Coturnix japonica: one gene and its partners. Each later gene encodes a partner of the first gene's protein in a complex. Links are inferred from orthologs where the notes say so. Each region holds a gene or a part of one and is shown in the gene's direction. Other genes may lie near its edges.

Evidence for each region. Proteins that work in one complex are often made in the same cells at the same time.
Region 2: TAF1A (region 1) and POLR1C share a complex: the UniProt entries of both Homo sapiens proteins name them as parts of the pol I pre-initiation complex. The link is inferred for Coturnix japonica from reciprocal best matches to the Homo sapiens genes TAF1A and POLR1C.
Region 3: TAF1A (region 1) and TAF1D share a complex: the UniProt entries of both Homo sapiens proteins name them as parts of the transcription factor SL1/TIF-IB complex. The link is inferred for Coturnix japonica from reciprocal best matches to the Homo sapiens genes TAF1A and TAF1D.

The regions. Positions count from the first base shown.
Region 1 is NC_029518.1:15,722,394-15,725,708, forward strand, and holds part of TAF1A (TATA box-binding protein-associated factor RNA polymerase I subunit A), read left to right. Parts: intron 1-79; coding exon 80-210; intron 211-1,042; coding exon 1,043-1,201; intron 1,202-2,253; coding exon 2,254-2,320; intron 2,321-3,315. UniProt on the Homo sapiens protein: Component of the transcription factor SL1/TIF-IB complex, which is involved in the assembly of the PIC (pre-initiation complex) during RNA polymerase I-dependent transcription.
Region 2 is NC_029518.1:27,798,784-27,803,065, reverse strand, and holds the start of POLR1C (DNA-directed RNA polymerases I and III subunit RPAC1), read left to right. Parts: upstream 1-1,482; 5' UTR 1,483-1,525; coding exon 1,526-1,594; intron 1,595-1,667; coding exon 1,668-1,739; intron 1,740-1,835; coding exon 1,836-1,943; intron 1,944-2,034; coding exon 2,035-2,167; intron 2,168-2,727; coding exon 2,728-2,847; intron 2,848-3,062; coding exon 3,063-3,215; intron 3,216-3,350; coding exon 3,351-3,500; intron 3,501-4,026; coding exon 4,027-4,143; intron 4,144-4,282. Other genes in the region: protein YIPF3, read right to left, coding at 66-158, 748-793, 875-981, 1,056-1,262, 1,333-1,395. UniProt on the Homo sapiens protein: DNA-dependent RNA polymerase catalyzes the transcription of DNA into RNA using the four ribonucleoside triphosphates as substrates.
Region 3 is NC_029516.1:166,173,042-166,177,039, forward strand, and holds the start of TAF1D (TATA box-binding protein-associated factor RNA polymerase I subunit D), read left to right. Parts: upstream 1-1,198; 5' UTR 1,199-1,308; intron 1,309-1,628; 5' UTR 1,629-1,641; coding exon 1,642-1,868; intron 1,869-1,953; coding exon 1,954-2,410; intron 2,411-2,537; coding exon 2,538-2,713; intron 2,714-3,131; coding exon 3,132-3,192; intron 3,193-3,507; coding exon 3,508-3,621; 3' UTR 3,622-3,998. UniProt on the Homo sapiens protein: Component of the transcription factor SL1/TIF-IB complex, which is involved in the assembly of the PIC (preinitiation complex) during RNA polymerase I-dependent transcription.

The DNA.
Region 1 (3,315 bases):
CCTTGTAGGTACACCACTTCTTCAAGATAGTTCTTAACTAGGAAAGCTAACTCTGTGGCATTCTTTCATGTTTTCATAGGGAAGGATGGATTTGAAGACTTGTCTGTTGAACAGGAAATGAACAGTCGCTTTCGGAAGGCAGCAGTGAGCTTAAAGGAGATCATTAAAATACCTGGAATCTGGGATCTCTTTGTGAAAGCCTATGTGGATGTAAGAGTGTATTTTATAGGTCTCTTCCTTTTGTGTTTGCCTGTCTAATTTTCATTTAGATACAAGTCTGTAGTTCAGCTGTGTGTGTGGATGACAAGTAGTTTAAAAACAACCTCTGGATTTGATTTAGGCATGTCTGTAGGACTGCAGGGCCTGCGTAGTGTATAAAAAGGGCTTTATCTGTGAGCTGCCAAGGAAAAGAGGCAACCAACTTGCACATTCTGTTTTCCTGGTGCTAGCAGAGAAATTGGAGCACAGCTGCTTTGTTTAAATTCCTGAAAGCAAGTTCTCTTTTTGGCAGGACGATGTTTTTCTGGTGGTACTAAATCTTGGAAGCCAAACATGCGGTCCCTCTGTTTTTTTGGTGGTTTTTTTTTTTTTTTCTAAATATCTGCTCACAAATTTTAACTAAGAAGTGAATCTTAGAATTGGAAAGGTTCACTCTAAGTGCAGATACACTCAAAGAAGTCAGAGTGTTTCTTATGGAATTTTACTAGATGCTGACAGCTGCCAAGTTCTCCGAGTTCTCTTCAAAGACGTGGCAGTCTGCTTCCATTTTTTTTTTTTTCCATTGAGGAATGATGGTGATTCTTTAACAACCAGGGAAGTGCTAATGTGATTTTTCCTCTGTAGCTGCTTCTGTGTGTGAATTTTTAGTTAATTATGTTAAGAGTAACCAGTAAAATTAAAATACTTCATTATAACTCACATCCAGTTTGCTATGCTGCTAGATACAAATGGTGCTGTTGGGTAGTTCTGTAGCAGCCTAGAATGAACTGTAAGTGTTTAATTGCTAATGTGAAGTGAACTAATGACAGGCTTAACTTCTTAGCTGATGGAATTCTACGGAGACCACCAAGAAGCTCGTGAAGTATTAACGGATTATGCTTACAATGCAAAGTTTCCCACAAATCCCAACGCTCATGTTTACTTCTATCAGTTCCTAAAGAGACACGGTGAACCAAAGAAATCACTCATATCTGCTCTCAAGGTATATATAACATATAAATGCAGTCTGTGGTTGTTCATTTTGCATAGTGGTCTGTTGGTTTAGTTGTCTCCTGTTGTAGTATTTACCTTATTGTATTTTTTTAATGGGAAGCAAAGGGTTGGGGTGTTCTAATGGGTGGAGCAAATAGGATCCCTTACTGTCTTTGTTCTACATGTGTAATTGATGCACCGTAAGGTCAGTAAACAAGCTCAGATCAATTTTCCATGGCTCAGGAAGTACATGTAGGTAAACATGCATTAATTTCCATTGTAGTTTGATCTTTACAGAGTTGAATAAATGATGAGGTGCTTGCTTTTTTTCACACACCAATCCCACCTCGCAGTTAGTTTCATTGTTCTCAATAAGCAGTTAACTTAAGGTTCAGTAGAAGTTTACTTCTACTGACTGTTAGATAAAGCCCTGCTGCATCATTGCCCTTTGTGTAGCTGCTTTAGCTTCCCCCTTTTGTTGCCCTTGCGCACTGATAACTTTTCCAATAATGTTTTTGAACCTCTTTTGCCACTTGATGGCACTAAAATGCTTTTGTTTGGGTAAATGGTTTTAAAACAGCTTCATTGAGTTTAGACTTGGATCGTGGCCGTTATATGTAAAGTTTCACCTTCACAGTGTGTTATTTATTTTTCACATTAATTTTATAGGCTTAATTTTATAAGATAGTGGCAAATCTGAAAACTGGTCTGATACATCCTGCGAATGCACAGAGCAGATGGGAGCTGGAACTGGGCTAGGGGTTGCTATCTGAAAAGAAGACACTGGATATAGGCTGCTGCTGGAAACGTTGCAGTTGTTGCAGGGTTTTTCAGTAGTCATGAGGGCATTTCATCTGTATTATCACCAAGCAGTGTTACAGATGTGCAGAATAGCTTTCAGTCGTCATTATTTGTATCAAGACAATTGGGTACCTGATTGCACAGTTTTCCTACAATACTAAAGAACTCTGCAGACATTGCTGCTTTGGATTTGGTAGAAGCCTTCAGAAGCTTTTACATCATTTTAATGTATGTTTTGGGTGTTGTTTTTTTTTTTCCCAGAGCTTGCATGATATTGTTCCCTCTCACGAACTAATGATAGATTTTAATACTATGCTTCAAAAATCAAGTAAGTCTTTAAATATATTTGTTCTTTTCCTTTATGTTAATCTAGAATATTATGAAATTGTTCTAATTTGCACTGAAGTAGTTGTGCTTATTAAAAGAAAAATCCCAATGTGACTTTCTGATCACAGGAACCTTCAGTGCAGATGAGTTAAGTAGGTATTTACAGGCTGTGTAAACAAATGCATGTTGAAGTTTAAAGGCTGACCAAGCAGTAGGTTGTAATGCACAGTCAGGACCTCAAAAATGATTTGTTTGGAGGTACTCTAGTCTGAATGCTCATTTCACTATTTCTGAGGTACACCGTTCTAAAAGCTAAACTCAGTATTTCCATTATGGTACCTCTTTTCTGGAGGAGCTGAGATGGATTTATGCATTGGTTTGCTATTTATCAAAAGAACAACATCTTAAGTGAGTTTTTTGGAGACAGTTTTGGAGACTGCTTTTCCATGCTGATCAATTGCTTTCCAAAATGGGCATCTTCTTGCAACCTGGTATGTTCTAGCAAGTCAGCAGATGGATGGAATGTCTTGGAATCAAATTTATCCTCTTCTGTTGTTCCTCTTTGTGAAAAATAAAAATTCTTTTGGCTGAAACCTCCCTTTTTCTGTTCACACATGATATGCTTGTGAAATTCCTGTAGCTCTTGAAGACAATCTGATTTTTGAAGTAGTAATTTATACTGGTAAAGATTTCCAGCTTTTACGTGCTGTAGTAGGTCACTTTTAAGAACGCCTTTGGTATATTGGCTGCTGTTGTGAAATACCTGTTTTATTCATATCAGTCCAATTTCTTTGTTTTGATATCTCAGCACTTGAAATGTTCCAGGGCGCTGTGTTCTCTTCCCACAGGAAGAACATGTTGAACAACAGCACCGGCTGGAAGCACTGATTACAACAGCAGCAACTGTTGTAAGGAAGGCAGTGTGGGTTAAGTGAGTGGTCTTGTGTGCCTCTTTGAGTCAGCAGCATTTAAGGAGGGTCTCTGCAGTGAAGTGTG
Region 2 (4,282 bases), about 12 Mb from region 1:
CCAGTGTCATTATAGCAATCCCAAACCCGGTCAAAGCACAAATGAATCACTGAGACTCGCCATACAATGATAGTGTCCGAGGTCTTCATCCCATGCAACAGGATGGCCACCAGCGTGAAGACCAGCATGAGGGGTCCGTAAAGCTCACCTGCAATCTTCTACATGTAAAGAGAGAGATGAGGCTTAGTTAGTGCTCCTGTCTTCCAGGCTCTCCACCCTGAGAGACATAACGAGCATCTTGGAGACTTTTATCACCCGAGGAGCATCTGCAAGGCCACTGCTGACAGAAGCCACACAGAACAGACTGTGATGAGTCAGAGTGGTGTTCAACAGGATGCAGAAATGGGCAAAGTGAGGTCTAGAGTTCTACAACTGTACCAGCGTTAAGGGTAGCAGGAAGGTAAAGGCAGCGCTGGCACAGGCTGTGCAGGGCAGCGGTCACAGCAGTGAGCTGGCTGGAGTTGAAGAAGCATCCGGACAATGATCTCAGCTATATGGTCTGATTTATGGGTGGTGCTGTATGGAGCCAGGTGAGCCTTATGAGTCCCTTCCAACTCAGGATGTTCTATGATTACAATTCTATGAGAATGGGGTTTGGAACAACCATAGGAAAGGGTTTACTGATACTTTGAGGGAGGTGAACATCTAACAGACTTGGATCCTTAATAACAGGCTAATTACATCTGAGGGGTCTCTGTGGAACAGTCACTCAGGCTGTGGGGTCTGGTTCAGTGAGAGAGAACTCACCTGTGGGAAACTGATCATCTTGACGGGCACCATGGACTCCAGCAACCTGCATTACGGCACAGCGGGGAACGACATCAGGACAGTCATTAAGAAGCAACAGATCCCGTGCACCCGCTGCCCTGCCCACCTGGTGCGCACTTGGACGGGCTCCACGTCGAAGTATGGCCGCAGGATGTCGATGTTGGCGTAGAGGCTGAACGCTTTGGACGCCTGTCGCTTCCCCACCTGCCACATCTGCGGACAGAACGGTACGTGCAGCGGCGGGGCCGGGGCCGGCGGGGCTGTTGGCGGCTCGTGAGCCCACTCACCTGGTCGGCCACCTGCCGGCCCAGCTGCCCCTGCAGCCCCTTCATGCCCAGGAACTCGCCGTCCTCTTCCCCGCCGGCCCCCGCCTCGCCCTCCGCCTCCTCGTCCTCCTCCTCCTTCATGCGCTGGTGCATCTCCCCCATGTCCTCGAAGCTGGAGCCCGACGTGTCGTCCATGTTCTCCATGTCGATGACGGCCGAGCCGCCGCCCTGCTCCGATGCACGGATCGTCAGCGCCCGCTCGGGCCCCTCTGTCCCCCCCCCCGCGGGCCGGCCCCACCTGCACGTTGTCCTCAAAGCCGCCCCACTCGGCGGTGCCGCTCCTGCCGCCCGCCGCGGCCATAGCGCCGGTAACGGGGGACGGCAACGCGGATGTGACGGTCCGGCCGCTCCGTGTCTCGCGAGAGCCGTCAGTTCCGCATGGCCGCCTTACGTGCGGCGGGGCGGGGCGGCGGCGCGTCCTTCCGTCGGCGATGGCGGCCCGGCGCGGCACGGACGAGATGCGGGAGCGCGTGGTGCTGGGCGAGTTCGGCGTCCGCAACGTGCGTGGGGCGGCGGGACGCGGGGCGGCTCCCGCATCACCCCCCGCTGCCTCACGGGCTGCGCCCCCCGCAGGTCCACACCACTGACTTCCCAGGCAACTACCCCGGGTACGACGACGCGTGGGACCAGCGGCGCTTCGAGGAGGTGAGTGGGAGCTGATGGAGATGATGGAGCTGATGGAGCTGCTGCTGCGGGGCCCCTTGTTCGGCTCCGTCGTGACGCGGCGCGGTTCCCGAGCAGGGGTTCCGCGTGGACGTGGTGCGGGAGGAGGACGGCGTGCTCGAGTTCGACATGGTGGGCATCGACGCGGCCATCGCCAACGCGTTCCGCCGCATCCTGCTCGCTGAGGTACCGCGGGGCTGGGAGACATGACGAGTGGATGGTCCCCGTGCGGTGCCCTGCTTGGCGGCTTATCGCCTCGCTCTGTCGTCCCCCCGAGGTGCCGACCATGGCTGTGGAAAAGGTGTTTGTGTACAACAACACGTCCATCGTGCAGGACGAGATCCTGGCGCACCGACTGGGCCTTATCCCCATCCGGGCCGACCCGCGGCTCTTTGAGTACAGGAATCAAGGTGAGGGGCTCGGGTCGAACAGCGGTGGGGAGGGTGGAGCCCATAACCAGGAGCTGGGGTCACACCGTAGGATCATGAAGGCCATCAGGTCCAACGATCCCACAACATACAGGGACTCCTACATCTGACCAGGTGCTCAGAGTCCTGCCCAGCCTGGCCTTGTAAGTCTGCAAGGACAGGGCATCAGCCGCATCTCTGGGCAGCCTGTTCCAGTGCCTCACCACCCTCATTTTCACCACTCTCACTCAGTAATAGACTTTTTCTTTATCTCTAAAGTAAATCTACCCTCTTTAAGCCTCAAACCGTTTCCCCTTCTCCTATCACAGCAGACCCTGCTGTAGAGTCTGTCCCTTTCTTTCTTGCATGCTCTTCCTAGGTGCAGAAAGGCCGCTTCCAGGTCTCCCTGCAGCTTTCTCTTCTCTAGGCTGAGCAGCCCCAGCTCTCAACCCATCCTCGTAGGAGAGATGTTCCATCACTGGGTCATTCATGTGTCCCTCCCCTGGATACACTTCAACAAAGCAGAATTCACTTCCATAAAGATACTGTTTTGCCATTTCCAGGAGATGAAGAGGGGACGGAAATTGATACTCTGCAGTTCCAGCTGAAAATAAAATGCAGCCGGAATCCTCAGGCAGCCAAGGAATCGTCTGACCCAAACGAGCTGTATTTCAATCACAAAGGTGAGAGCTCCTTGTGCCTGCCCTAAAAGTAGGTGCAGCTTTCTGCTTTTTCTCTTGTTCATTTTCTTCTTTCTCTCTCTTGGTGTTTTGCCTTGTGAGCAGAGACAGCTCATTTCCTCACAGTATACATAGCTTGCTTGTGCCATCTCCTATTCAGGTCAGCAACCTGTTTTCTGAGGCAGCAGCTGGCTGATGCTCGTGGTTTCTTTTGGCAGTGTACAGTAAGCACATGACATGGGTTCCCTTGGGGAATCAGACAGACCTCTTTCCGGATGCTGACTTCCGACCTGTCCACGACGACATCCTTATAGCACTGTTGAGACCTGGGCAGGAAATAGATGTGCTCATGCACTGCGTCAAGGGTGTAGGTGAGTGCTGGGTCTGAGCTGGGGAGTGGGTGTGCTGGTGCTTGGACTCGAGCACAGCTGTGTGATGGGAAACACTGGAGAACTAGCTTGACCCCAAGGCCTGTCCTCATCCTTAATTCTGAACTCTTTGTGCAGGTAAAGATCATGCCAAGTTTTCTCCTGTGGCCACAGCTAGTTATCGACTGCTTCCTGACATCACTCTCCTGCAGCCTATCGAGGATGAGGCAGCCGAGACGTTACAGAAGTGCTTTTCCCCTGGAGTCATTGAGATCCAGAACGTCAAGGGTACTTTCTTTCCAGCTGTAAAGTGCCTCGTTCCTAACAAGTCTTAGCAGTGACTGAATAGAGACAGTAGAGATTGTAGTCAAACCTTGTTGGGAAAATAACACATTGCGATGTTGTCTTGCTGATCAACAACAGTTGGTGCTGTTTTGAGCCTGGTTGTAGTGGCTGAGTGGCTGTCACACACAAATGTTTTTAGCAGTGAACTGAGATCTCCCTGAAATGCTTATGTGTTGCATGCCTGTCTGTAGAGCCCTGTGCTACTGTTAGGTGTCTGGGTAGCGAGCTTGCTCTTTGTAACAGCTGAGCACGGGGAGGACTTGTGTCCTGCCCAGGAGCACATACAGGCTTTGTGTTTGGCTTAGAACTGTTCGAGGAAATGAATTCTGCCAAGCTGGAGTTTCATGTTAGGGATGTGCTAATTATATGTGGCTTTGCTGCCTCTGCTGCTTGAGGGGTAAGTACTTTTTGTGACCCCAAGGTGCTCATCTGCTGCCGGTGCCCACCTTGTTTTGTCTTCTCCTTTTAGGAAAGAAGGTGGCAAGAGTAGCCAACGCACGGTTGGACACGTTCAGCAGGGAAGTCTTCCGACACGAGGGTCTGAAAAACCTGGTGCGCCTGGCCAGGGTGCGAAATCATTACATCTGTAAGTAGCCTGTTTTGTGCAGAGCAGAGTGCCCAGCCCGATTCTGCTTTGTACAAACAAGCAGGGGCTGGCCAGTGTGCATACCTTGGTCTCAGTCTTTCCCTTCTACTTGGCATCGTTATTCTTCCTATGTTTGTAT
Region 3 (3,998 bases), on another chromosome or scaffold:
GTGGTTTAGTGGCAGCTATTAGTAATATGTGGATGGTTGTACTGAATAATCTTTCAGGTCTTTTCTAACCTTGGTGATTTTATGATTCTATGTGCTTTGGAAGCAGGTGTGCCTACCAGCTCTGCAGCTGCTTCAGAGCATTACATCTGTTAGTCCTCAAACTTCCATCTCAGTACAGACAAAATATGTAATACGCTGAACCTAATTCAAGGGACAGGTCAGTTATCTGTCCTTTGTAAACCCAAAGCCACGCTTTTCTAAGCACAATAACTGCCTTACCCGGTCTTCACTACCTTAATGTTTACTTTTCCAGCATTGGCTATGATGGACTTTCAACCTTGGCTCCCAGTTTCTTATAGGCACGTGTTTCCAAAGTGGAAGAAGGTTGTAGTGCATCTCAAAGCCAAACAAAGGCACCAAAGCAGCAGCAAGTTGTACAGCACTGGACTCTATATCAGCTCAGAGCCTTTCACAGCAAGCTTTGTTCAGAACAGAAATGTTGGAGCTTCTTTTGAAACGAGCTATATTTCAGTCATGCAACAGCATAACCTGCTACGAGGGCAAACCAGCAGCTCCAGGCACAAGCAGCTGGTTACATGCTACCTATAAACCAGCCCCAGAAATCATTAACTCCTTAGGCACACGCCTGCTGCACGTAACAAAATAGGAACCTTTCATGGAAGAAAAAGCGAGACTTTGAGCTCAAAGTTCAGCTACCTCAAGTTCTGCCTGTAACAAGCAATAGAGCAAGAAAGCAAGCTGTCTATGTAGAGTGATTTCCATCTTAGCTGGGGGCTCGTCCGCTTCTATGGGCGATTCTCCCTTCTGTGAAGGAAGCTGTCACAGGAACGCTGCAAACGGGATGGCAGGAAACAACCGACACGTCGAGACACTGCGGCTTTTCTTTTCCAAGCAGGAAAGGGCAGAAAACGGAAAGGAGAAGTTAATGGCTGGATAGAAACGCTTCATAGCGGGGGGCTGGGGGGAGAAGGAAGCACAGCCAGAGCCACAGAGCCAACAGGGACAGCGCCAACGTGCAGATGAACTCAGCAGAGAAGCGAGAAGGGAAATTCAGGCCACGTAAACGAGGGTAAAAAGAGTCTAAAAAGAGTCCCGGAGCCAAACCTGCAGGAGCCACCCTCTGGAGACCCACAGCGAGCGGGAACCGCAGCCAATGCCCACAACCTGCGGCCGCCCATCCCCGCCCCCCTCACGGCACTCCCCGCCCCGTCCTGCTCTCGCGAGAGCCGAGCGCTATTTAAGCTCGGGGGCGGCCATTGCGCGCCCTTTCCGGAGGTGAAGCGTGAGGTGAGTGTTGGGTTGGTGATGGCGGTGCGCTGAATCCGCTGCCATCCGCCGTGTGAGGACCCGCTGTGAGGCTGGGGTAGAATCAAAGCACATCCTGTCGCTGAGCGATTCCTAGACGGAGCGCAAGGAAGGCCCTGGGGCGGGTGGGATGTGGGAAATGGGCTCCTCATGGCGGCCCGGGGCTGTGGTAGAGCGGCGGGAACCGCGCAAAATGTCCGCCCCGGGATGGTGGGCGGGAGGGGGCTACTGTGAGGGAGACACATACGTTCCTTGGATGTGAAAAGCTTTGCCTGGGGTAAAACATATTTAATTTCTTTCAGGGCAGATTAAAACATGAGTGATACAGATGAATCCCACACCTCTTGTTCTGATGATCCTGATGCTCAGAGTCTCGTATCCACTCAGAGGCGAAAAAGATCTAAAATACCTGAGCGTGCAGTGAATGCAAGGAAGAGACGTTTGTGCTCGAGGCAGAAGGACGCCACTCCTGAGGAGTCTTCAGATGAGACTAGTAGTACAAATACATCTTCATCTGAGGTGGATAGCAGCGATTCAGAAATGTGAGTTACCTGGTTCCTTAGAATCACTTACGAACAAGACTCATAAACGTATGTGCTCTGTTGAATGTACACGTTTCTTTTTCAGTGATGTTTCAGCTGCTCGGGGCAGCAAACGCTCTAGGAAATGCACTGCTCCCTCTGCGGAGCAAAAGAGGAGATCGCAGCCTTCAAGGAAACAAGCAGGAGCTGATGCACGAGTGTCTGATGGTGAAAGTCCTGACTCTTTGCTCCCTGAGAGCCCGGTGAGGCCACCTGAACCCTCCCAAAGGAGGAAATCCAAGCTCGATTTGAAAGCCATTTTTGCCTATCACTTCAGAGGAAGGAAGTTTAAAACTGCTGCGCACCGAAGATACAGGAGCGGTGTTTCACGGAAGACAAAGAGACGCTCGGAACCCCCAAAGAAGCGTGGTGGGAATCGGCCCATGACAGCCCCGCCTCAGGAGCGAAGGAGAAGGCTTCGGGATCCAGGCTTTCAGTTCCCTTTTGTTGAAAAACATTATGGGAGGAAACATATTCCCGTAAATATGGTTCTTAGCTATGAGGTGAGCCCTGTGTTTTGTGGGAGAGAACCAGCTGACCTAAGGCTGTCATTTAATGTTACAGTCTGGTTGATTATATAAATGGTTCATTTCTTTGTTTGTATTTAAGATCTATTCCTTTTTTTTGCAGCAAGCAGCTGCGAAGGGATATTTCCAGTATGTTGAAATGCTTAAAGCTGAAGAACACCTCAAAAAGGCTTTGAAATCCCTTGAAGCAAATGAAGACTTAGAAAGGGAATGTCTGACAGCGCGGAAACATAAATATTTAGATGACAAAGGCCCCATTTCTCCTATCCAGGAGACAAAGTAAGTTCATTTTCAGTAGTATAAAAGTTGCTGTTTTGTTCTCAACTTAAAGTCTGTGTGTTCAGCATTGCTGTCTTTATTGTCTGGCACGTGCATTATATTAATTGGTGAAATACCTCTTGGATTTTTCTGTAACTCAGTAATGGATTCTGTTGGCTTAGCACTGCTGTGTTGTGTGCTCTCTCCTCATCCTTAAAAGAGCAGAGAGAGAAAATAAGTAACAGCTCATGGCTTTAGATAAGGATCTTGTTCCACAGGCTCTCAGTGTAGCCTCATGTAGAAGTGGGAGCATCCCAGACCTGTAAGCTGTAGCGTTTCCATATGCATTATGAGGAAGTGGTGCTGCATTAGGAGAACAGCTTGTTTATGCTGCGCTACTGTAGAAGTACAGATTTGATTTGAATTTCCTGCCTTTCAGCAATGACGATGATAACTGCTTGGGCTCTGATAATCCAGAAGACTTTGATGTCAGAGTAGTGGTGAGTAAACATCCATAATTTGAAAACTATAACCTGTTTTCTCTTTTGAGGTGTTAAATAAGTAACAGATGATGCTTTGAGTACTTAATTCTTGAGCTTGGATCTGGAATTAACCAGTTTGTGTGGTTTTGGTGTGTAGTACAAGAGGAAATTGGTTTGAGAGAAGTCTGAGCTCTTTGGAATTATGTTGGGATGTGCGGAAATTGGGCAGTTCTCTGAAGCGTCCATAAAACTTCCTAAAGGAAGTTAGTAATAAATTGGTACTTCAAGTGTCTCCAAACCAGACTTGAGAATGCTGTTTTTTTTTGTTCTCAGGACAAAAGCTGTTTCATTATAAGCAGCAAAATTCCCAACAAGAAGAAGAAATCAAAGGCCAAAACAAAGCGAGCAAAGTCAGCTGGAGTGATTGAAGAAGAATGCTGCTGCTAAGTGATCCTGCTGAAATAGCACCTTCCGCAGCCTGGCTTGTGGAACCAGCAGGTCACAGAGCTACAGGACTAAGAGTTCCAGCTCTTGTAATTAAGCAGTGTAGAATAAACTAATTCTCCTAAATCCAATATCATAATCTCAAGCTGCTTTAAAACAACTAGCAGTGTGATGAAAAGTTCTATTCCCTTCTTCCCCTCCTCAGTCCAGAGTGGGGTCTTACGAAGGTGACTGAGCAGAGATAGAAGCCCTTCAGCACAACAGGGACTATCTGCTGATCTTGTAGCATGAATGGGAACTTGTTGCGGTTGCTCAGACTAGATGTAGGAGTGGGGTTCTGGCAGGGTAATGCAGTGAGGTGGGTGTGGAGTCCTGCTCAT